Arabidopsis thaliana: one gene and its partner. The protein of the gene in region 2 purifies or fractionates together with the protein of the main gene of each other region. This does not show direct contact. Each region holds a gene or a part of one and is shown on either strand. Other genes may lie near its edges. The genes, in order: AT1G32880 and Hsp81.4.

Evidence for each region.
Region 1: the proteins of Hsp81.4 (region 2) and AT1G32880 fractionate together in Arabidopsis thaliana (co-fractionation; one large-scale study listed by BioGRID). This does not show direct contact.

Annotation. Positions count from the first base shown.
Region 1 is NC_003070.9:11,909,570-11,920,833, reverse strand, and holds AT1G32880 (ARM repeat superfamily protein), read left to right. Parts: upstream 1-6,098; coding exon 6,099-6,224; intron 6,225-6,382; coding exon 6,383-6,510; intron 6,511-6,608; coding exon 6,609-6,906; downstream 6,907-11,264. Other genes in the region: GBSS1 (UDP-Glycosyltransferase superfamily protein), read left to right, coding at 1-53, 136-252; NAC13 (NAC domain protein 13), read right to left, coding at 7,142-7,551, 7,671-8,678, 8,921-9,197.
Region 2 is NC_003076.8:22,673,180-22,686,477, forward strand, and holds Hsp81.4 (HEAT SHOCK PROTEIN 81.4), read right to left. Parts: upstream 6,974-13,298; 5' UTR 6,889-6,973; coding exon 6,766-6,888; intron 6,507-6,765; coding exon 6,365-6,506; intron 6,258-6,364; coding exon 4,423-6,257; 3' UTR 4,159-4,422; downstream 1-4,158. Other genes in the region: CBL2 (calcineurin B-like protein 2), read left to right, coding at 1-18, 96-208, 343-400; HSP81-3 (heat shock protein 81-3), read left to right, coding at 8,231-8,353, 8,657-8,798, 8,898-10,732; AT5G56020 (Got1/Sft2-like vescicle transport protein family), read left to right, coding at 11,407-11,624, 11,969-12,227, 12,336-12,440, 12,917-13,027. UniProt on the Arabidopsis thaliana protein: Molecular chaperone which stabilizes unfolding protein intermediates and functions as a folding molecular chaperone that assists the non-covalent folding of proteins in an ATP-dependent manner.

The DNA of each region.
Region 1 (11,264 bases), on a different chromosome or scaffold from region 2:
CCGCAATGCAAGAAATGGTCAAGAACTGCATGGACCAAGACTTCTCCTGGAAGGTCAGTGATTCAGTTCATTCTAAAGTTTGAAACTTTGTTTATATTGAGTTGTTGACATCAATCTTGATTTGATGTTATGCAGGGACCTGCGAGGTTGTGGGAGAAGGTACTATTGTCCCTTAATGTGGCGGGAAGTGAAGCCGGAACCGAGGGTGAAGAGATAGCTCCTCTGGCCAAGGAGAACGTAGCGACGCCGTGAGAATATGACTTTTGTTTTGTGTCAAAGTGGTTTGAAGAAAGCGTTGGGAAGTTAGGAGTAGGGAAGGTTGAGGAAAAGTAATGTATATTGGAAATGTTAGAGTCTAATATAATAATAAAAAAACTTTGTGAACACAATCAATCATATATAAGTTTATCATCACAATCAATAAAAAATGGTAGAATTTTACAGAATAGTTTCAATTTATTGTCACAATAATGTTTAACACATAAACACAATCAAACTAATAAGAAGATAAAATTTGAATGTAAGGAGGATATATGGAGGGAAAACGGTTAAGAAGAAGAAGAAACCGTTTCTTTTCTTGTTCGCTACGTCACAAATCTTGCTCAAATGCAAGATTCTTTACCTCTTTCACATTTCAGTTTAGATTTCTCGGGTTTATCTTCAAGTTTTGTGAATTGCTTAGGAGAGAAGTCAAAGAAGAGAGAAAGCCACGTCACTAAAACCCAAATCTTGGTCTAAAAACGATCTCACAAGTAAACAATCTCTGGTGATTTCTAGATGGACGACGAAGCCATGATCGCTGCCATTCAAGCTGGTGTTTGGTCAGAAGATCCTCTAACACAGCTTGCATGCACTACCGATATCAGGAAGCTTCTATCACAGAGTAAATCAAATCTATGGTTGACGGAAACTTACAGTTATTCTTTTTTGCTCTGCTGACGTGGAGGCGAAAACAGAGGCGACTAGGGTTTTTGCTTTCTCTTCACGCATGTTACCGTCGGCGGCTTCTTTAAGCCAGCCTGGCGGCTCGCCGGTGGCCGGATTAGGTGGTTCTCCTCCTCCAGTGATCGTTTCGAGTCAAGAGGTTGGTCAGAAGGAGAGGAACGCAGAAGAGATCTCAGCTACAGGCTCGGGAACAAGTGTAGGGGTAGGGGAAACTTATTCAAAAATCAATCAGGAAGCATCGTCCATTCAAGGGAAAAGGAATCAGATCGGGAAGCCATCTTGGGTCAACGTTGCAAAAAAACATATCTTCTCTCAGCAAAAGTTTGTGGTATCAGAGATAGATGGTAAGGAGAAGGTAGTAGTTCCAAAGGATGTGTTTGCAGGTGCAAAACCTCTATGGGAAGATTTCTTGATTGGAAAGTTTCTGAATACTAAGGCCCCTCACGTGGGGAAAATCCATATGATTGTGAACAAGATTTGGAGATTGGGAGACCGTTCTTCACTTATAGATGTGTTTGAAGTTAATCAGTCTACAGTGAAGTTTCGTATAAGAAACGAAGGTATGAGGCAGAGGATTTTGAATAGAGGAATGTGGAACATCACGGATATCCCTATGATAGTATCAAAGTGGACCCCTTTTGCAGAGGAGGCTCAGCCGGCGATGAAATCAATACCTTTATGGGTCACTCTCACCAATGTCCCACCAATGATGTTTACAGACAAGGGGTTGGAGTTTCTAGCAAGTGCAGTTGGTAAACCAATCCGTCTACATCCTAAAACAGATGTGTGCGTCTGTTTTGATGAAGCTCAGATTATGGTAGAGGCTGACTTAACGAAAGAATTACTAAAGGAGTACAACTTTACAGGAGAAGAGGAAGGTGAGCTAGACTCTGTCATTAAGTACTCTTACCCATGGTTACCACCAAGGTGTGGCTGCTGTAAAAAATGGGGTCATCTACGTGAAACTTGTCTTTCTCCGGAGAACAAGTCCACTCTGGATACCTCAGCCCTGGATTTGTTGAAAGTTAATGACGTAGTGACAAACATGGACACATCTCCAGGTCTGCAAATTGTTTCAGAACAGCCTGCACATGTAGAGTGTGATTTGCAGCTTCAAGAAAAGGATCTAGCGGCAAAAAGTAGTGATGGTGCACAAATAGAAGCGGTATGAATTAATAATAAGATGGATGAGGGTTGGATCACGCCGGCTAATACAGGACGTAGTCCGGGGAAAACAGAGGGTCTTAAGTACGGTGAGGTTTCTATCCTCTCTAACTCGTTCTCTGCCTTGGGTGAAGAGGAAGTTATGGGAGCAGTAGAAGCAACAGAGGAGGTAGCGGAAAAGGTAGACCAGGAGCCTGCTTTGGTTGTGACAGATACAAGAATTACGATTTCAAGGGAGGTTGAGGACACGGAGCTCTTAACTCGAGGAGATAAGGAGGTCCTTTTGCGTTCGTCTTTACCTCGTGCATCTAAAACTGCTCATAAAGCGATCCCACATAACTCTTCTCATTCAGCAAGGGGTCCCCCTAAAGATCAGACCAAGAAACCCCCTCTTAAACGTTGTTAATGTCGGGGTTCTCATGGAATGTTAGAGGGTTAAATAAGTCATCAAAGCATTCTGTAATAAAGAAGTGGGTGAAGGAAACGCCTTTTCAGTTTGGATGTCTTTTAGAGACAAGGGTTAAGGAGCATAAAGCAGAAAGTTTGCAGAGTAAATTGTTTAAGGATTGGTCGATCATAACAAATTATGAACACAATTCAAGAGGCCGCATTTGGGTTATGTGGCGTAGTAGTACAAGGCTTAGTCCCTTTTATAAGAGTGCTCAGTTGGTAACCTGCTCGGTTAAGCTTGACAACCATCAAGAAGAATTCTTTTGTTCTTTTGTGTACGCTATGAACACTGCAGAAGATCGTAAGATTTTGTGGCAGGAACTGAAAGACCATTCTGATTCACCTATTATTCGGAAACGACCGTGGATAATTTTTGGAGATTTCAATGAAACTTTGGATATCGAAGAGCACTCTCTTGCGGATAGTTATCCTGTGGTCACTGCAGGTATGAAGGATTTTCAACAAACGGTGAGCTATTGTTCGATAACTGATATGGCTTCGCAGGGTCCACTTTTTACGTGGTGTAACAAGCGAGAAAATGATCTCATAATGAAAAAACTGGACCGGGTGTTAATAAATGACGTTTGGCTGCAAACTTTCCCGCAATCCTATTCTACATTTGAGGCTGGAGGTTGTTCGGATCACTTGCGCGGACGAATAAACTTAAGAAGAGAAAAAGGGAGTCAGGCGAAAGGTCGAAAACCTTTCAAGTTCGTTAATGTCCTTGCAGAATTACATGAGTTCCAGCCAATGATAGATAACTATTGGAAGAATACTGAGTCGTTATTCTTGTCTACATCCACTCTTTTCCGGTTCAACAAGAAGCTAAAGGGTCTTAAGCCTGCGTTAAAGTTGCTCGCAAAAGACAGAATTGGTAACCTAGTGAAGAAATCAAAAGAAGCATATGAAGTTTTGTGTAAGAAACAAGAGGCAAACTTATCAAAACCCTTCATTGCAGAATATGGAAGCAGAGAATGCGGCTTATAACCGATGGGAGTTTGTGTCAGATCTAGAAGAAAAATATCTAAAACAAAAATCAAAGTTGCATTGGATGAAAGTGGGTGATAAGAACAACAAGACTTTTCATCGAGTTGTGGTAGCTAGGGAGACAAATGAATCAGATCAAGGAAATTCAATGTGCAGATGGTAGCATTGTAAAGGGTGATGAGATAAAAGTGGAGGCTGAGAGATTCTTTAGAGAATTTCTGCATTTTATCCCAGAGGACTATGCAGGCTGCGATGTTAGTGAGCTTCAGAACTTGCTACCTTTTCGTTGTTCTGAATCTGATCAAGAGCTGCTTACTCGTGAGGTGTCTGCGGAGGAGATACAGAGGGTTCTGTTTTCAATGCCGAAGGACAAATCTCCGGGACCAGATGGTTATACCACAGAGTTCTATAAGGCAACATGGGCTACCATAGGACTTGAATTCATTTTGGCAGTTCAATCTTTTTTTCTAAAAGGTTTCCTTCCAAAAGGAATAAACTCAACTATTTTAGCTCTGATTCCAAAGAAGCTAGAAGCTAAGGAAATGAAGGATTATAGACCTATTTCATGCTGCAACGTAATCTATAAGGTAATTTCTAAGATCATTGCTAACAGATTGAAAGTGCTTCTGCCAGAGTTTGTTGCGGGAAATCAGTCGGCGTTTGTAAAAGACAGATTACTCATCGAAAATCTGTTACTTGCTACGGAACTAGTCAAGGACTATTATAAAGATTAAGTCTCTACCCGTTGTGCTATTAAAATAGATATCTCGAAGGCGTTTGACTCGGTCCAATTGGCTTTTCTGCTGAATGTTTTATTGGCTATGAATTTTCCTGCGGTTTTTATACATTGGTTAAAACTGTGTATTACTACGGCCTCTTTTTCAGTCCAAGTAAATGGCGATCTCGCTGGTTATTTCCAAAGTGCAAGGGGTTTACGTCAGGGTTGCTCTCTCTCGCCATATCTGTTTGTCATAAGCATGGATGTCCTCTCAAAGATGTTGGATAAGGCTGCCGGAGCTCACAAGTTTGGTTTCCATCCTCATTGTCAACGTTTAAAGCTCACTCATCTAAGTTTTGCAGATGATTTGATGGTTCTAACGGATGGTAAGGTTAGATCCATATAGGGTATAGTGAAGGTTTTTGATGAGTTTTATAAGTACTCTGGGTTAAAAATAAGTATGGAGAAGTCGACAATGTATATGGCAGGAGTATCACCTTTAGTGAAAGCAGAGATTGCAGCTCTTTTCCCTTTTGATATAGGTCAATTGCCAGTTCGATACTTAGGTTTGCCTCTTGTTACTAAGAGACTCATGGCTGAGGATTATGATCCTCTTCTTGAGCAGATTAGGAAACGCATCGCGTCGTGGACTTCACGCTACCTCTCATATGCAGGTAGCTCAACTTGATTCAATCTATCCTCTGGAGTATTTGCAATTTCTGGCTAGGCGCTTTTCGTTTACCGAGACAGTGTATCCGAGAGATTGACAAGATTTGCTCCGCTTACCTATGGTCGGGTTTAGAACTGAGTTCAAAGAAGGCAAAGATATCGTGGGAAAAAGTTTGTAAGCCGAAAATAGAGGGGGGTTTGGGTTTGCGAAGCTTGACAAAAGCTAATGATGTTTGTTGTTTAAAGTTGGTCTGGCGAATCATTTCTAATAGCAAGTCTTTATGGGTTCAATGGGTCACCACATACCTTCTTAGGAGGAAGCATTTTTGGACATTGAAGCAGAATACAAATGCAGGCTCTTGGATTTGGAGAAAAATACTAAAGTACAGAGACAAGGCGAAATAATGTGTACAATGCATCATTCTCTACCAAAGAAACGTGGCACCATATCAGAGCTCCTTCTCCCACAGTCCCCTGGTACAACGGGGGTTGGTTCAATCACGCCACACCAAAGTTTTCGTTTTGTACTTGGCTCGCGGTCCAAGATAGGCTCTCAACAGGGGAGCATATGGTTAAATGGAACAGAGGAGAATCGGGTCTCTGTGTGTTTTGTACTAACACTATGGAAACTCGTGATCATTTGTTTTTCTCCTGCAACTATGTCTCGACAATTTGGGGTGACGTAGCTAAGAAGCTATGGAAGACCAGATTCACAAAGGAATGGCCACAAATTCTGGCCTATGTTTCAGACAAGTCATTACAGCGAGTCGATGGTTTCTTAATCCGGTATGTCTTTCAAGCTACAATACACACAGTTTGGAGAGAGAGGAATGGGCGTCGTCATGGAGAAACACCGAACACCACGTCACACTTGATAACTTGGATAGATAAGCAGGTGATCGAAGATATGACAAGGGCAACGTACAGCTCACTCTAAACATTCTCTAAACACCTTTAATTTCTAACTATTTTTTTTCTCAGCTTTTCTCATTTTGCTAAACGTTGCACGAGTTGTAAAAACGTTTTGTTTTTTTTTGAATATAATTTAACATTTTTTCAAAAAAAAAAGAAGAGTAAATCAAATCTCTCTTTTACTCTTTTTCTTGATCGATTTGAAAGATTCTTCATTCACTCGAATGTTTCTTATATTACATGTGCAGAAGATATGCGTAATGTTTCTTATATTACATGTGCAGAAGATATGCGTGGTCCTATCGAAACAGTGATACGATCTGGAGCTGTACATCGTCTCATTCAGTTTCTTCTCGATGAAAGTTTCCCTAAGCTTCAAGTTAGAAGAAAAATTTCCCCCATCAAGTTGATGTTTTTATTGATGATCAGTGTAATCTTTGATTCTGATATATATACAATGATTCAGGTGCACAACATAAAACAATTTGTCTATTTGCTATCTCACTAAACTAAACTGTTTTCCCCTGGTGATAACAGTCAGTAATCGATGCAAATTTGATTCCAACCTTGGTCAAACTGACTCAGAATGCTGAATTTGACATGAAGAAAGAATCTGTATGCGCAATTTCAAATGCGACCTTACTTGGTTCTCATGATCAAATCAAGTACGTCCCTGTCTTATTTCTTTCTTTTTGCACTTTCAACTTAACATGCTTATAGATGATCATCAAAGTCACAATCTCCATTTATTGGTGTGATTCAGATACATGGTGGAGCAGAGCTGCATCAAACCTTTATGTGATATCCTGTTTTGTCCAGATGTAAAAACCATCTTAAAGTGTCTGGATGGAATGGAAAACACATTGAAGGTTGGAGAGGCTGAAAAGAACGCAGGAGACGACGTGAGCTGGTATACTCGACTGATCGAAGCGGAAGGGCTAGATAAGATTTTGAACCTGCAAAGACACGAAAACATCGAGATCTACGACAAGGCTTTGAAGATTCTGCAGACTTACTGGCTTGAAGAGGATGATGAGGATATACAACAACCTCCAAGTTAATAATCTAGTTAAGTAACATCATTTGTTCAAATATCCTAAAAGATAAGAAAATTCTTTTGCTTATTTCTATTGGTACTTTTTTAACAATACCAGAGAAAACTTCCAAGCATAAACTGTGATACTAAACAGCTTCTGAATCTAATAATCCAAGAGAATAATTACAATGACTTGACTCTCTAATGGTTCACACAAAACCAAGCCTTTATGTCTCTTAACCTCTTGGATTTTTCGGTTCTCACCATAACAAAGGCCTCCCTGAACCTCCCATTGTTCCTATGATCACCCAAAACAAAGCACATAAAGCCCCAATGATCGATAAGCAAAAGAAACCTTTGTTCTTCTTCTTCTTCTTATCGTTGTTTCCTCCAGACTTGTTCCTCTTCACTGCTGAGTCACTATCCATAACAACAACATTATTACCTGTGCTTTTAGAAGTAAACCTGAAACGACCACCACTGGTTGACATTCTAACAAGGTTCAGCTTCACAAATGGATTCTCTGATGCATATGCTGGCTTTGCAGGAATGGATTCCAGGAAAGTCCATACACTAGAAGCAAACTTACTAGACTCGTCTTTTGACGGGTCATCTTCATTAGTTGTACTTATACCAGAAGGAACAGGGTTTAGGAATTCAGATGAATCACCTGTCAAGGGAATATGATTAGGATAAGAAGCCAGTCGCTTTCCTCACAATTAGATAGAATATTTAGTATGCGAGTGAAAAGAGGTATCTACAGGAAAATCTGTTAGTGCTTTCAAGTACCTGTACCAGGCGCCTCACCAAACCGGGTAACGGTAAGTCCGTCATTGTTTAGCTCCTGCACCCACGATGATCCATTGTTTATCTGTCTGGTATAGCTGTTACGGAGTGGCCAGTTACTAGCTTGGTTCTTCCCTGATTGCTGCTGGAACTGGTTATTATTGGCCTGGTAAGTCATTAAAGAAGTATTCACCTGAAGACTTTGTGCAAACCCATTTTTCAAATCACCACTAACAAAATCTAACTGAGGATTTGTCACTCCCAAATCAAGGAAATATGAATCAGCACCAACGAAATCATCATCATTCAGGAGACCAGAACCATCCTCGTTCCAGTTATTCTCCATGACTTCCACAGAAGTTGGTTCAGGTTCAGGTTCCATAAGATCATTGATTTCCAAATACATATCTTCCTCCAGGTTCTCCAGATTATACGTGTCTACATGAGAGTTCAGTCCAGACACCCCATTCTGCTGCAATGTTGGACCAGACTGATCTCTAACCTGACTCATCAGCTCTTCAATATCATTATCATCCAATTCAGATTGGTTAAGCCCTTTCCCCCATAAACTATTATCAACACTAGCCGAAACAACGAGCTGATTAGCAGGCTCATCAACATCATCATCATCATCTTCAGCCCATTCTTCTTCAATAAAAGGAGCTCCATATTGCTCACCATTCTTAGGACCAGACCCACTTTTCTTATAAATCTTGTAAAGAACATAAGCATCCTTAACATCTTCACCACCACACCTCTTGAGCTCCTCTTTGTGCAATGTATACTCATGCATCACCCAATTAGTCCGTTCGCCATTAGGTGCCCTGCCTCTATGGAAAACAAGAGTCTTCTTCTCTCCAACGGGTCTCGAATCACAATGAATGACTCTATCCTTCCCTGTTGCTTTCCAATAGCCACGTTCAGTAGCTCTACTTGACCTACTTCCATGTTTCCTATCCCTTAAGCTGAAAAAGAACCATTGACGATCTCTAGTCTTATACAACGCTTTCTCTACACAAAAAAAAAGAGTCCATTTTTAAAGTCAGAAGCTAAAAAAAAAAAAACCTTTAGAGTGTAAATCAATCAACCATACATACATATGTAACAATCATGCTTGTTCAAATTGAGCAATCTATGAATGAAACAGATAAAAATCGAAACTTGAAAACAGAGCAAAACATTCCAATTTTGAGGTAAACGAAAGCAAATCAAATGAATTAAAGAGTAAGGAGAAGATTTGAAATGAAGGGTACCAGGTAATTCCTCAGGATCAAACTTATAGACATCAGTCTCGCCGATTGCTTCGACTCTGAGTTTTTTCCGACGGATCTTTCTTTTGAGATAATAGACGACAAGTTCTTCGTCCGTCGGATGAAACCTAAAACCTGGAGCTAAACCTCCGTTCTCAACCGACAAGTCCATCACTTTTTTCTCTCTCGTTATCACAAAAAAAAAAACCCTAAAAAGTTTCGATTTTTCTGTACCAAATGGAAGAAGAGTCTTATTCTGCGGAAATATTTTATTTTTCATTTAATTTAATTGGTGTTTTTTCCTTGGAGAAGAAGGTTTGGCTTACAGAGACGACACGTAGCATCTTTGTTTGCGGAATTATTTTACTTTTCATTTCATTTAATTGTTATTTTCTTTTTCCTTCTGGAGAAGTAGAAGGTTTGGCTTCGAGAGACGTCGTTTTTTCGGGTCGGATACCCATTTAGATTCAAATCGGTATTCCAAATTTTCGGAATTTTGGATTTGAGATAGAAAATCTGTTTGGATATATTTTAGATTTTGGGTTCGGATTAAATGTTTTAATTTCTAATTCGGATTCATCAAAATTTCCAAAAATCAAATATTTCATAACTAAATATATTTAAACTACTCAAAAATATAAAGAATATATATATAAAAAACCCAAAACATTTTTTTAACCAAATTTATTCAAAAATAATTAACTATTTAAAATATTTTAAACATTCAAAAATCCGCATGTTTTGACACTTGATTATTAAAAATATAAATATTAATAATATATTATTACTATGTATTTAAATTGTAGATATGTTCCGATATCAGTTCGAATTCGATTTTTGGATTTTGAAATATAGAATTTGTTCATGTATTTTGAAATTTTGAATTTAGATTCGGATCAGATACTCGGATTCGAATATTATGCCTAACTCTAAACGACACGTAAGATTAGAAACTTGATTATAATAAGCGTGATATTTTATTTAGTAATAATAAATTCATCGGCCTACAAAAACTGTGGGTTTTTTTTTAGATGTCCATGATTTCTCCAAATGACTAGAACACAACCGAAGTATTTGAGAATTTTGTTGAGCTCTTGTATATACAGAAAATAACCCATTGGATGTGTTATTTGAGTTTAGTGTTATATTATATTTGAAAGATTTGACTATCTACCATTTATGTTGTATCTTTTCTTCAATTATATATTATAATATATATTTTTAAAGAGTACATAGTTATGTTTTTATTTTATTTTTTTAGAGATGGAGAGAAAGATGAAGCAGCATCATCATCAGATGTGAAAAAGATTGAGTTTACCTTGTTCTATATTAAGAGGTGTTTTAATGTTCTTGCGCAATTCTCTTTCAAATTGAAATGGTTTGTACTTTGTGCCATTACGATTGATATGCTCTACTGGTATCAAGGATTGAGATTGGAAAATTTTAGGTGTCATTATCAAATTGATTGCAAATGGAGAAGATTAGCTGTTTGTCAAAACTTATAGTATTACAATCATGTTCTATTTTTATTTTTCTTAATATCTAGAAGTTCAATAATGAAGATTTTATATTTTTTAGAAGTGAAATCCATATTAAGTTAAATTCATCTTTTTTAGAAAATAAATCATTTTCAACGTACGTCGAACACAATACTTTCATCTGAAAAATTTACCACTAGCTAACACCACGTTGATTACAATCGGGTTTTATTGTTGTATACAAACTATTTTACGTAAATTATGTGTTTTTTGATTAATGTTATGGTTGAACAAAAATGAATTTGTTCTTCGTTCAATACTTATTTAGATAACACCATGGTGAAAGAAATTGTAAAGTTTTTTTTGCTATTTTGGTGGGGTTTTGGCTTCTTTTATTTGGACTTTATTTTTTATTTTCTTTTGGTCTTAATTTCCAGAATTTCTTCATTCTCTGATGGTCTCTTGTACTTTTATTTGAAAATTTAAATTAAATTAAGGTGAGAAAATAAAAGATTACTCAATTTTAAAATAGCACTTAAAATGCTTTTCTCTTGTCTAAATATTTAAAGTTTCGCAAGAAACAATTTGTACCGAGAAAACTTACCGTTATAAAAAGTATATTATATTCAAAAAAAAAAATTGAGTTGAACCGAACGTGAAAGCTGTAAAGTTGTAAAGGCGACAACTACACCAAAGAAGGCTAATAATCGAAGAATATGTTCTTTGCAAAATAGACCAACGTTTTCAATATCCGAATGTAATAACATAAAATCATTAACTAAACCTATCTCTTTCTAAAACAGTATCTAATTTAGTAAGCAAATAAATATCTTACCTGCGACAAAAAATATATAAATATCTTGGTTGAA
Region 2 (13,298 bases):
GAGGATATAATCGACAAGGTAAGTTACTTACTTTTTTTCCTCTTCACCCTATATTTTTTCTTTGAAAGTAATTTCCCGAGTTTTGAATGTTTCAGACGTTTGAGGAAGCAGACACAAAACACGATGGAAAGATCGATAAGGAAGAGTGGAGAAGCCTTGTTCTTAGACATCCCAGCCTTCTGAAGAACATGACTCTTCAATATCTCAAGTGAGTTCCAAATCTTTCTATTTATATAACCAGGATTGAATCTATTCAACCAAATTCCTTCTCTGGTTTCTCTTTCTTCTATTCTCCATGATATGTAATAAAGGTCGTGATCCTGTTGTGTGCTTGCTCTGCAGGGATATCACGACTACGTTTCCAAGCTTTGTGTTCCATTCTCAGGTTGAAGATACCTGAAAAAGCAAAAGCAAAAGCAAGCAGCGGCAAGACATCATTGTATTGTTGAAGGTTGTTCTTTCGTTATGGTTCTTTATTTGTTACATTTCTAAATCTCTGAACTCATTTTATTTTTTATTGAGCTTTTTTTGTGAAGCAAAATTCTTCTTTTTAGTTTGGTTTTTGTCCTTTTTGATTTCGCTCGGTCTATCTGTAGATACAACTTTTGCATCTTGATGTTATGGTAATGTAAAGTTTTTCAGTTTATTTATTAATCCAATTAAAAAGATTTGCTTCAATCTCTGTGTTTTGGTTATTAGAGTTAGCTTTTAATATTAATTCAATGGATTTCTAGATTGCAAGCAAAACTAGTCATTTCATATGTGACTTGTAAGCAAAACTAGTCAAAACTGAGTGATGTCACCAGCCCTCCTAATGACGAGTTTTCCGAGATCAGCTCCACAAGAATCAACTTACATGATGACAAAAAGTGGATCTTCGATGAGACGCCATTAGAGAGAAGAGGAGATGATCTTACCAACAAGGGTATACGAAAGCAGAGCTTCGGGGGATGGTTGAGAAGCAGAGACATGAATAATGTTCTTCCAAAAAGAAGAAGAGGTGAGAAAAGGGAAAAAAAACCTAATTGAAGAATTAGCGATTTTCCCTCACCAAGAACCCTACATTAATACAAAAGGAAGTGACTTGCCAATCAAGTTTCCCATCCATTGTAGATGAGGGGAACATTGTGTTTGTAGTAAGGCAATGGAAGAATGACTCATTTATGCTTCAATGACTTCCATGTTCTTTCTTGAGGAGAAGGAAGACCATTCTTCTTGTTTTGCTACACAAGACTGAAATAAGAAACCTCTTCTAAAAGTTCTTCACGCTCCATGTAGACTATCTCTTTCTCCAAGGAGCGCTTTTCATTTAGAAAAAGCAACTTTTACTCTTCATCTTATCTTCGGCCATACTAGACGCAAACTCAACTTCAAGATCAAACAGTGCTTCTAAAGCCAACTCAACTCAATAGCCATACTTCATGCCGTCTCTTCAGCTTTTTTATCTTTCAAAGGAATATTTCATTAATATGATTTAGTTTTTATTTTATATACATCATTTTGACATATATATTTTTGAAAATTAATTTTATGCTTTAAACCACAAAAAAGTTTAAGTTTGGACCTTTCACATTTAGGTTTCAATTATTGTCTACATGTTTTCATAACTATATTCACACAAATAACTAAAATCTCCTCATAGAAAAAAGATTAATTGGTTTGAAAGAATAAAAAGAGTATAAAAGATTATTTTTCTATGGTTAAAAAATATGAGAGATTTGCCTTGGAAACGATAGTTAAAATTCAAAGAAACTAAGCTTGATATAACTACAAGTTTCGTACATAAAAATGTCGAAATTGTTAGATGTAATGAAGCCAACTTTAGCTTGAAGCCTCACCATGTAATGTTTTATCTCGCCGGAGAAAAAAAAATTCATTTATCGGTGAAATTAATTTATAAGACCAACTAAAACATCAAGCACATTAGATCTATTAATGATTGATTAATGTTAATGTGCTTTTAAAATTGAATAAAACACATGATCAATCATATTTTTAGCGTATAAAAAATAAATCATATAAACGAGATGGAAGACCATTCTTCTTGTTTTTCTTTACAAGACTGAAATAAGAAACTTCTTCTAAAAGTTCTTCACGCTCTATGTAGACTATCTCTTTCTCCAAGAAATATATACTACCAAACACTTTTCATTTTGAAAAAACAGTTTTTACTCTTCATCTTATCTTCAGCCATACTAGACACAAACTCAACTTCAAGATCAAATAATGCTTCTAAAAGCCAACTCAACCCAACAACCATACTTCACGCACTCTCTTCAGCTTTTTTCTCTTTCAATAAGAATATTTCATTAATATGATTTAGTTTTTATTTTTTATACATTATTTTTTACATGAATATTGTTTGAAAATCAATTTTATGCTTTAAACCACAAAAACTTTAAATTTGGACCTTTTACATTTGGGTTTCAATTATTGTCTACATGTTTTCATAACTATGCTCACACAAATAACTAAAATCTCCTCATAGGAAAAGATTAATTGGTTTGAAAGAATAAAAAGAGTATAAAAGATTATTTTTTATGGTTAAAAAAATATGAGAGATTTGCCTTGGAAACGATAGCTAAAATCCAAAGAAACTATGTTTGATTTAACTTCGAGCTTCGATCACAGAAATGTCGAAATTGTTAGATGTAATGAAGCTAACTTTAGTTTGAAGCATCACCATGTAATGTTTTATCTGGTCGGAGAGAATTTGTTTTTGTTTATCGGGGAAATTAATTTATAAGACCAACTAAAACATCAAGCTCATTCGATCTATTAATGATTGATTGATGTTAATGTGCTTTTAAAGTTGAATTAAACACATGATAATCATATTTTTAGCGATTTAAATATAAATCATATGTAAATAATTAATGAGAACTAATGATAATTGTTTTAAACAATTTATAGTCTTCAACATAAATATTAACTAAAAATGCTATTTAAAACAACTTTGTAGAAACTCTACAATAAAACAATTAATTCTCTTGTTTATTGTAAGGAAGAAAAATAATAGATTATAACTCTAAACTATATAAAATTAAAAAAAATTAGAAAAAACTACAAAAATTAGTATTTTAATTATTAAAATTCAAAAATAATTTCAACAAAATATCATGTAATAACATGTAAACTAGGTAAATACTTGTCTGTTGCACGGCAATATGCCATCACAGTTGTTTGTTATAGTTAATTTGGCTATTTCAAGCTATCATATATTAATATATTACGTAAGATGAGTATTTGTAAAGTTTTAAATTTATGGTTTATTTTGGAAAATTTTATCAACTGTGTATAGATAAACGTATACAACATTATATTATAATAGAATTCTATCATTACATATATTTTAATCATCTTATATATAGTTGTTTGTTACATATAGATAATTGTATATTTTCTATGGTACAGTATAATATAATTTGTATGTGTGTCAATCTTAGGTCCATGTGCCAAGAAATTGTTCTATATTATGTAACCAGGGGCGGAGGCAGTTATATAGGAGGGGGGTCAACTGACCCCCATGACATTTATAAAAAAACTTTTTTAAAGTTTATTCGATAAATCATTTGGCTTCAAATCTCTAATATGACCCCCATGCGTTGAGATGAAATCTCCTCTTTGCACCCTACGTCGTATTTTTTTTCTCTTTAATTCATTTAATGTTTTTACGATTTCATTATAATTACAAATTTTGTATCTGCATCTGATTCAATTAACCTGGAATTTGCATCTTTTTGCCAATTATTGTTTCAATTTTCTTATAATTATTTTATATATGGCTTTAAATTAAAAATAATATGGCTTAAGAAGCATAAATTAATCAATATACTAAAGAGATATTGAGAAAATAAGTTATATATATTTCATAAAAGTTTTTTTCTTACTATTATTTTTGATTAGTTTCAAAAATAGAAAACGATGAAAATGCTGAAGTTACATGTATATCTTTTACAAAAAAATAACTATATTATTTTCAAAACAACTATAATTAGTGGGGTTTATAGCAATAATGATATGTTTCTTAGCTTTCTTTTATTAAAAACATGTAATAGCAAAAATAATTTTTAAAAAGATCAGCAATAAAATTTATTTTAGTTAAATAAACACTAATATTGTTATATACTTACATTAATATATGACCACTGTATGTAACGGTTTTGTGTGAGATATGATTAGCGTAATTCTGGTTAGCAAAATATGGTCATAACTAAGTTATATGACCTGACAAAAAATCAGCTTGGATTTGCTAGAAACAGAGTTCCTTTCGCATAAAAAAATCTTTTTCATAAAACCGAGTTCAGAGAAAAAGCTTCAAGATAAGAAAGAAACTACAGCAGAAAAAAATTCTCAAAGATATGTAAAACGATAGAACCAAAACTCTTAACACCGCTAATATTAGTCGACTTTGTGCAATATTTAGTCGACTTCCTCCATCTTGCTACCTTCAGCATCAGCATCATCTTCAAGCGGAGGCATCTCAGCATCAGCTTCAACGGCATCATCCTCTTCAATGCTCAATCCAAGCTTCAACATCCTGTGGATTCTGCTTCCAAAAGTGTTGGGCTCATCAAGGCTGAAACCAGAGGTGAGAAGAGCGGTCTCAAAGAGAAGAAGCACAAGATCCTTCACAGACTTATCGTTCTTGTCCGCTTCAGCTCTCTTTCTCAGCTCATCCATGATCGAGTTCTCTGGGTTAATTTCCATTGTCTTCTTGCTTGACATGTAACCACCCGTGTTGCTATCCTTCAAAGCTTGAGCTTTCATGATCCTCTCCATGTTTGCAGTCCAGCCATACTCGCCTGTTACTAGACAGCAAGGTGAGTCCACCACACGGTCAGAGACGATAACCTTCTCGACCTTGTCTCCCAAAACGTCCTTAATCACTTTGCAGAGTCCCTCAAACTTCTCCTTGAGCTCTTCTTTCTTCTTCTTCTCGTCATCAGTCTCTTCCAGCTTCAGACCTTCCTTGGTTGCAGAGACAAGCTTCTTTCCCTCGAATTCCTTGAGCTGACCAATAGCATACTCATCAATAGCGTCAACCATGTAGAGGACTTCGTAACCCTTCTTCTTGAGCTTCTCTAGGAAGGGAGAGTTCTCCACGGCCTTTTTGCTCTCACCGGTGATGTAGAAGATCTCGTTCTGACCTTCCTTCATCCTTGTCACGTAGTCCTTGAGACTGGTCAATTCATCACCGCTCTTGGTTGAGTGGTAACGGAGCAACTCAGCAATCTTGGTTCTGTTTTGGGAGTCCTCGTGGATGCCGAGCTTCAGGTTTTTAGAGAAAGCCTCATAGAACTTGTTGTAGTCCTCCTTGTTCTCGGCAATCTCAAAGAAGAGCTCAAGACACTTCTTCACAAGGTTCTTGCGGATGACCTTGAGGATCTTGTTCTGCTGCAATGTTTCTCTTGAGATGTTGAGAGGAAGATCTTCAGAGTCAACGATACCCTTGACAAACCCAAGGTAATCAGGGATGATGTCTTCACAGTTGTCCATGATGAAGACACGACGGACATAGAGCTTGATGTTGTTGGGCTTCTTCTTAGTGTCAAAGAGATCGAAAGGAGCTCTCTTGGGAACAAAGAGGATAGCTTTGAACTCAAGCTGTCCTTCAACAGAGAAATGCTTCACAGCCAAATGCTCCTCCCAATCATTGCTCAAACTCTTGTAGAAAGCAGCGTACTCCTCCTTGTTGATCTCCTCTGGCTTCCTCATCCAGATAGGCTTCTGTTTGTTCACCAAATCCCACTCATGAGTAACCTCCTTAATCTTCTTCTTTTTCTTCTCCTCCTTTTCTTTCTCCTCATCAATTTCCTCAACCTTGCCTTCCTCATCCTTCTTCTCTTCCTCCTCTTCATCATCAGAGATCTCCTTCTCAATGGTCTTCTCAATCCAGAGAGAGATTGGGTAGCTGATGAACTCAGAGTGCTTCTTCACCAAATCCTTAAGCCTTCGCTCCTCAATGTACTCCATCTGGTCTTCCTTGAGGTAAAGGATCATCTTTGTTCCTCTACCAAGAGCCTCACCAGAGGTGTCTCTGGTCACCGTGAAAGATCCACCGGCCTGAGACTCCCACACATACTGCTCATCGTCGTTGTGCTTGGTAGTAACAACAACCTTGTCAGCAACCAAGTAAGCAGAGTAGAAACCAACACCAAATTGACCAATCATGCTAACATCAGCTCCAGCAGCCAATGCCTCCATGAACTCCTTGGTACCAGACCTTGCAATTGTTCCAAGGTTGTTCACCAAATCTGTACAATAGAACAAACACGAATCAGCAAACACAAATCAAACACATAGATAATGGTTTTGAATGAAATCAAGTACAACTTGCTTTTGAATGAAATCAATTACGTACCAGCCTTGGTCATCCCAATACCACTATCGATAATGGTCAAGGTGTTGTTAGTCTTGTCCGGAATGATATGAATGAAAAGCTCAGGCTGACCATCGAGCTTGCTCTTATCCGTCAAGGACTCGAACCTAATCTTGTCCAAAGCCTGTTTCACCAGAATAAAAAGCTCAATCATAAGTAACAAAATACACACAACATATATACAATCAAAAACTAAGTAATCTAACAAATTTGAACATGAAAAGGTTCCATCAATTAACAAACGAAAATCTCAAATCGAAAAGAACACTAAACCCTAATAAAACCTAAATCTACACATAGATCCGTCAAATCAATCGAAGGAGATACACAAACACATTAAGCTTAAAGATAAACATAGAAAGACAGAGAGGGAGAGATCGTACATCGGAGGAGTTACTGATGAGTTCACGGAGGAAGATCTCCTTGTTGGAGTAAAAGGTATTGATGATGAGGGAAAGCAACTGGTTGATCTCAGCTTGGAAAGCAAAGGTCTCTGCGTCCGCCATTATCGTTGATCGGGAAAAAAATCTAAGAATTAGGGTTTATGTGAATCAAAAAGCAAATTCTTAAGAGAAGCAGAGAAGTATTGATGGTTTGATTAAGGGGGAAAAGTGTGTAATATATAGGGGATGTGGAAACAGACGTCATAATATAATGGAAATTGTAAAATATAAAAATTGTCATAATATTTTACTTTCCTTTTTTTTGGAACAAGTGCTACTTACTTTTTTTTTTTTTTTTTTTGTTAAATTTTTCTATTAGCTAAACTAATCAATAAAAACAATGTTTTTCTCCATATACAAAATTCGATTTTGTTATGGATTTGAATTTACAAGTTCCCATTCATTCTAGTTTATCTATGTTTAGATTTTTTTAGATCGGTCCTAGTTTTGGGTTATTTTTTGAAATCGATAAAGTTAATCCCTTAGTTTCAAGATATCTCAAAATTTTATTTCAAATTTTAGTTATGTATTTAATTTATAACAACAAGATAAATAGTTGTGTTAAAAAAAAAAAAAAAGTTTTAATCAATTCTGAAGTTAAAAAAAAAAAATCAATTTTTTCTCCCCACAAACCCCACGCTTTTTAGAGAATATGTGTTTCTTTTTGTTATTGTTTTAATTTATTTATTTTACAACTTTCAATATTATTATTTAATTATTGATTTTTTTGAAACTTTATTAAAAGATACACATACCAATCTGTAAACAGGAAAAAAAAAGTTGTAAGCAAAAAATAAAATTATTGCTTTGTTTTTAAAATAGTAAATTATCATCAATAAAATAAAATAGTAAATTACAAAATTAACAAAAAAGGAAACTAAAACCTGTTACAAAAAAGTAGTAAATTACACCTGTTCTGCAAAATAAAAAGGGAGTAGAATTAAATCTGACTGTTTTTTATAAATAGTAAATTATCATCAACCAATAAAATAAAATAGTAAATTACAAAATTTAACCAAAAAAAAAAAGAAGTAAACTAAAACCTGTTACAAAAAGTAGTAAATTACACCTGTTCTCCAAAATAAAATAAAAGGGAATAAAATTTTAAAAAATTTAATAAAGTTTTGTATTTTTCTACCAAAAAATAGTTTTGTATTTTGTAATTTCCATTTAATTATATTGCAGATTATGTGGACCTGAAAAGCAAATTAACATAAATCAAATAGGAAGGATCTAGAAACCCTTATAGGTTCCCAGTCCCCACACCACTATATATAATAACATCCTTCCCCAAAGTCTCGTATCAATCAACACTTCTCTGCTCTCTAAAGAAAATTTTGCTCTCTTTATCTCTCGATTTGATTCATAAACCCTAGCTCTTAGATTTTTTTTCCGATCAACGAGAATGGCGGACGCAGAAACCTTTGCTTTCCAAGCTGAGATCAACCAGTTGCTCTCCCTCATCATCAATACCTTTTACTCTAACAAGGAGATCTTCCTTCGTGAACTCATCAGTAACTCTTCTGATGTACGATCTCTATCTCTCTACACCTTATTTTATACTTGTCTGTCTCGTTTGATTGATCTGGCTGTTCGATCTGTAGATTTAGGATTGATTAGGGTTTAGTGTTCTAGCCGATTTTAGAATTTTGGTTGGTAATTGAAGTTGCGAAGCTGTTTGTGTTCAAATCTGTTGATTAGTTTTAGTGTTGATACCAACGATTAAGCAGACTCTTGTTAGATTTACAAAGTTTGCTTATATGTAATTTGTATATACGTTCTGTGTATTGGTTGGTTACTTACGATTGTGATTTTACTCTGGTGAAAACAGGCTTTGGACAAGATTAGGTTTGAGTCCTTGACAGACAAGAGCAAGCTCGATGGTCAGCCAGAGCTCTTCATTCACATCATTCCCGACAAGACTAACAACACCTTGACGATTATCGATAGTGGTATTGGGATGACCAAGGCTGGTACGTAATTGATTTCAGTCAAAAGCAATTTGTATTGGTTTTCGTTGATTATTTATGTGTTTGGTGTGTTGGCTAATACGTTTTTGTTTTATTTTTCAGATCTGGTGAACAACCTTGGAACAATTGCAAGATCTGGAACCAAAGAATTCATGGAGGCGTTGGCTGCTGGAGCTGATGTTAGCATGATTGGACAGTTTGGTGTTGGTTTCTACTCTGCTTACTTGGTTGCTGACAAGGTTGTTGTTACTACCAAGCACAATGACGATGAGCAGTACGTGTGGGAGTCTCAGGCCGGTGGATCTTTCACCGTCACCAGAGACACCTCTGGTGAGGCTCTTGGTAGAGGAACTAAGATGGTCCTTTACCTCAAGGAAGACCAGATGGAGTACATTGAGGAGCGAAGGCTTAAGGATTTGGTGAAGAAGCACTCTGAGTTCATCAGCTACCCAATCTCTCTCTGGATTGAGAAGACCATTGAGAAGGAGATCTCTGATGATGAAGAGGAGGAAGAGAAGAAGGATGAGGAAGGCAAGGTTGAGGAAGTTGATGAGGAGAAAGAAAAGGAGGAGAAGAAAAAGAAGAAGATTAAGGAGGTTTCTCATGAGTGGGATTTGGTGAACAAGCAGAAACCGATTTGGATGAGGAAGCCAGAGGAGATCAACAAGGAGGAGTACGCTGCTTTCTACAAGAGTTTGAGCAATGACTGGGAAGAGCATTTGGCTGTGAAGCATTTCTCAGTTGAAGGACAGCTTGAGTTCAAAGCTATCCTCTTTGTTCCCAAGAGAGCTCCTTTTGATCTCTTTGACACTAAGAAGAAGCCCAACAACATCAAGCTCTATGTCCGTCGTGTCTTCATCATGGACAACTGTGAAGACATCATTCCTGAGTACCTTGGGTTTGTCAAGGGTATTGTTGACTCTGAAGATCTTCCTCTCAACATCTCAAGAGAAACATTGCAGCAGAACAAGATCCTCAAGGTCATCCGCAAGAACCTTGTGAAGAAGTGTCTTGAGCTCTTCTTTGAGATTGCTGAGAACAAGGAGGACTACAACAAGTTCTATGAGGCTTTCTCTAAGAACCTGAAGCTCGGTATCCATGAGGACTCCCAAAACAGAACCAAGATTGCTGAGTTGCTCCGTTACCACTCAACCAAGAGCGGTGATGAATTGACCAGTCTCAAGGACTACGTGACAAGGATGAAGGAAGGTCAGAACGATATCTTCTATATCACTGGTGAGAGCAAGAAGGCTGTTGAGAACTCTCCATTCCTTGAGAAGCTCAAGAAGAAGGGTATTGAAGTTCTCTACATGGTTGACGCTATCGATGAGTATGCTATTGGTCAGCTCAAGGAATTCGAAGGAAAGAAGCTTGTCTCTGCAACCAAGGAAGGTCTGAAACTGGATGAGACTGAAGACGAGAAGAAGAAGAAAGAAGAGCTCAAGGAGAAGTTTGAGGGACTCTGCAAAGTGATCAAGGACGTTTTGGGAGACAAGGTTGAGAAGGTTATCGTCTCTGACCGTGTTGTGGACTCACCCTGCTGTCTTGTAACAGGCGAGTATGGCTGGACTGCAAACATGGAGAGGATCATGAAAGCTCAAGCCTTGAGAGACAGCAGCATGGGTGGCTACATGTCGAGCAAGAAGACAATGGAGATTAACCCAGAGAACTCCATCATGGATGAGCTGAGAAAGAGAGCTGATGCAGACAAGAACGACAAGTCTGTGAAGGACCTTGTACTTCTTCTCTTTGAGACCGCTCTTCTCACTTCTGGTTTCAGCCTCGATGAGCCCAACACTTTCGGGAGCAGGATTCACAGGATGTTGAAGCTTGGATTGAGCATTGATGACGATGATGTTGTTGAAGCCGATGCTGACATGCCTCCACTTGAAGATGATGCCGATGCTGAAGGTAGCAAGATGGAGGAAGTTGACTAAATTATCACACACAGTCGACTTAATCATTAGGGGTGTTGAGACATTGGTTATCTTTTTATCTTTTTTTTTTATGTTTTCGTTTGAACTAATATTTTGGAACTATTTTCTGGAGTTTATTTCTTCTATCGCTTGTTTTCGTGAAGATTTTTTCTCTGAATTCGGTTTGATGACAAAGGTTCTCTTATGCACAATCTTGCAAATCCAAGCTTATTTTGGTTATGTAGCCTATAACTAAGTTATTAGTATGACTAATATGGCTAATAAAATACATGAAGCAGCTCCAAATCATATTGTTAAGCATCTCAGACAACACAGCTTACATATTCTTTACAATAATAAATAATTTATTGTTCGACATAATACTGTTGTTACTGTTTGACTTAGCGTTAATTTTCTGCACAAATGTTGTTACTACTTTGATTAAAAAGGATAATTTGTGTAACAATTTTTTGGTCAGTTTTAAAGGTTATTATTATTTTTTTAAATAACTTTTACGATTAGAATATGAGTAGTGCAACGCAAAATAACACTGCCGTTTAAGACGACGGTCCCTTGACAGAATCTTCATCAACGCTCGATTTGACGTCTGCCGATTTCCTTAGCTCCGACGTAAACCACTGATCGTCGGTATTCAGCTATATTTTGATTTCTCAGCTCCAAAAATTCCCAACGAAATGGAGAAAATGGCCAAAGGATGGTTTCCGATGAGCGGCACTAGTAGCAGCGGAGATCAGCAGCAGCAACCGCTGCAAACAGGAGGAACGTCTCTGCTAGCTGATTGGAATTCTTACGCAGCATCGAGAGATTTTGAAGAAGACACCGGAACTTTAGGCTTCGATATCGAATCCGCCGTTAGATCTGCCAACGACACTGTTTCCGGCACCTTTAATGTGTAATCCATCCATCTCTTTCTCTTAATCTTTAGGGGTTTAACGATTGATCGTGACCGTATCTGAGAAATTAGGCGTTTTCGCCTGCTATTGAGGATTGGATTGGTGTAAATTAAATCTGGAATCTGAGAAATTGTGATTAACCATATAGTTTAAGCTTTGCCAGATTCGTTGATCAGATTTACAAATTCTCAGGGTTTGAAGCTATTGTTAGTGAATGATTTTGATTAGTGTCTTCTCTCAATGACTTAGAATTGATTAAGAGTCTTAAGCATATCTTTTTCTTGAAGTGTTACTAACTTTTTGATTTTGAATTTTGTTGTACTCAAATCTGGATTGTTAACAGTGTTTCGAAAGGAGTTAGAGATAACCTGCAGTCTGCAACAAGTAGTATGCCTTCAGGAAAAGCTTTGATGTATTTCGGTTTACTTCTAGCAAGTGGTGTATTCTTCATCTTCATTGCCTTCACCATGTTTCTTCCAGTCATGGTGCTTATGCCACAGAAGTTTGCAATTTGTTTTACCCTTGGATGTGGATTTATCATCGGATCTTTCTTCGCTCTTCGTGGCCCGCAAAATCAACTCGCTCACATGTCATCGGCAGAGGTAATAACTAATAACAAAACCTTGTGTTGTGCAGCTTCTTATATCTGCTGTATTTCGTTTACATTTTTCTCTTTGGAATTTTAATTTCTTGTTTGCTGGCTTCTCCAGAGGCTTCCACTAACTTTAGGTTTCATTGCCACCATGGTTGGCACCATATATGTCTCGATGGTGCTCCATAGCTACATTCTCTCTGTGATTTTCTCTGCATTACAGGTACTTAAATTTCATCTTCCTTCCCGACTCTTGTTGGTGTTTATATCCTCTGTTTTTCATATGTTAAAATTTTCCTCTTCCCCATTTCACAAATCTTACCTATGAAGTTCTTTTTTACCCTGCATGTTTCATCTAGTAAGCTCTTGCCTCGTCGAAACATAATGTGTTTAGTAAAAAACATGTAGACTTTCTTATTGCTGTTTTAAAATACAAGTTGGGTTAGTATGAATTATGAAGAAGCCTTGAACGCCATATCTTTGGTTGGTCTCTTGGCTTGTTTTTGCAAATGCACTTACTTGCGACAGAAACAGCTTTGATATATTATTACTCACCCGTTATCGATATGGAATATATACTTTAAGAACTCACTAAATCATATCCTTCATGTCGGTTTAAAGATTAGTCACGTATCTGCACATTCTGTAAGTATAGTAATCTCATAAAAAACCTGGTCTCTGTTCTCTGTGAATCCATAGGTTATTGCACTGGCGTACTACTGTATATCATATTTCCCTGGTGGATCATCGGGAATGAAGTTCCTCAGTTCTACTCTTACCTCCTCTGTCTTCCGAATGTTTGGGAGATGAGCTTTCGCTTTGACCTATGCAAAGAAAATAACTTGATTCTCTCGTGTATAAAGAAAGATGAAAGATCTTCAACAGTGGTTAAATGACAAATCTGGTAAAATATGTTGGTCCAATGGCTCAAAGACAGTTTTGTTATAAATTTCCTATATTGATACTTTCTGCTAAATTGGTTCAAAACTTCAAATCACTAGCCACTGGATGAGGTATGGAACTTGAAGAGTTGCTTGGTGGATACATTCTCTAATCTAGGGTAAGTCGTTAGCTTCAATGT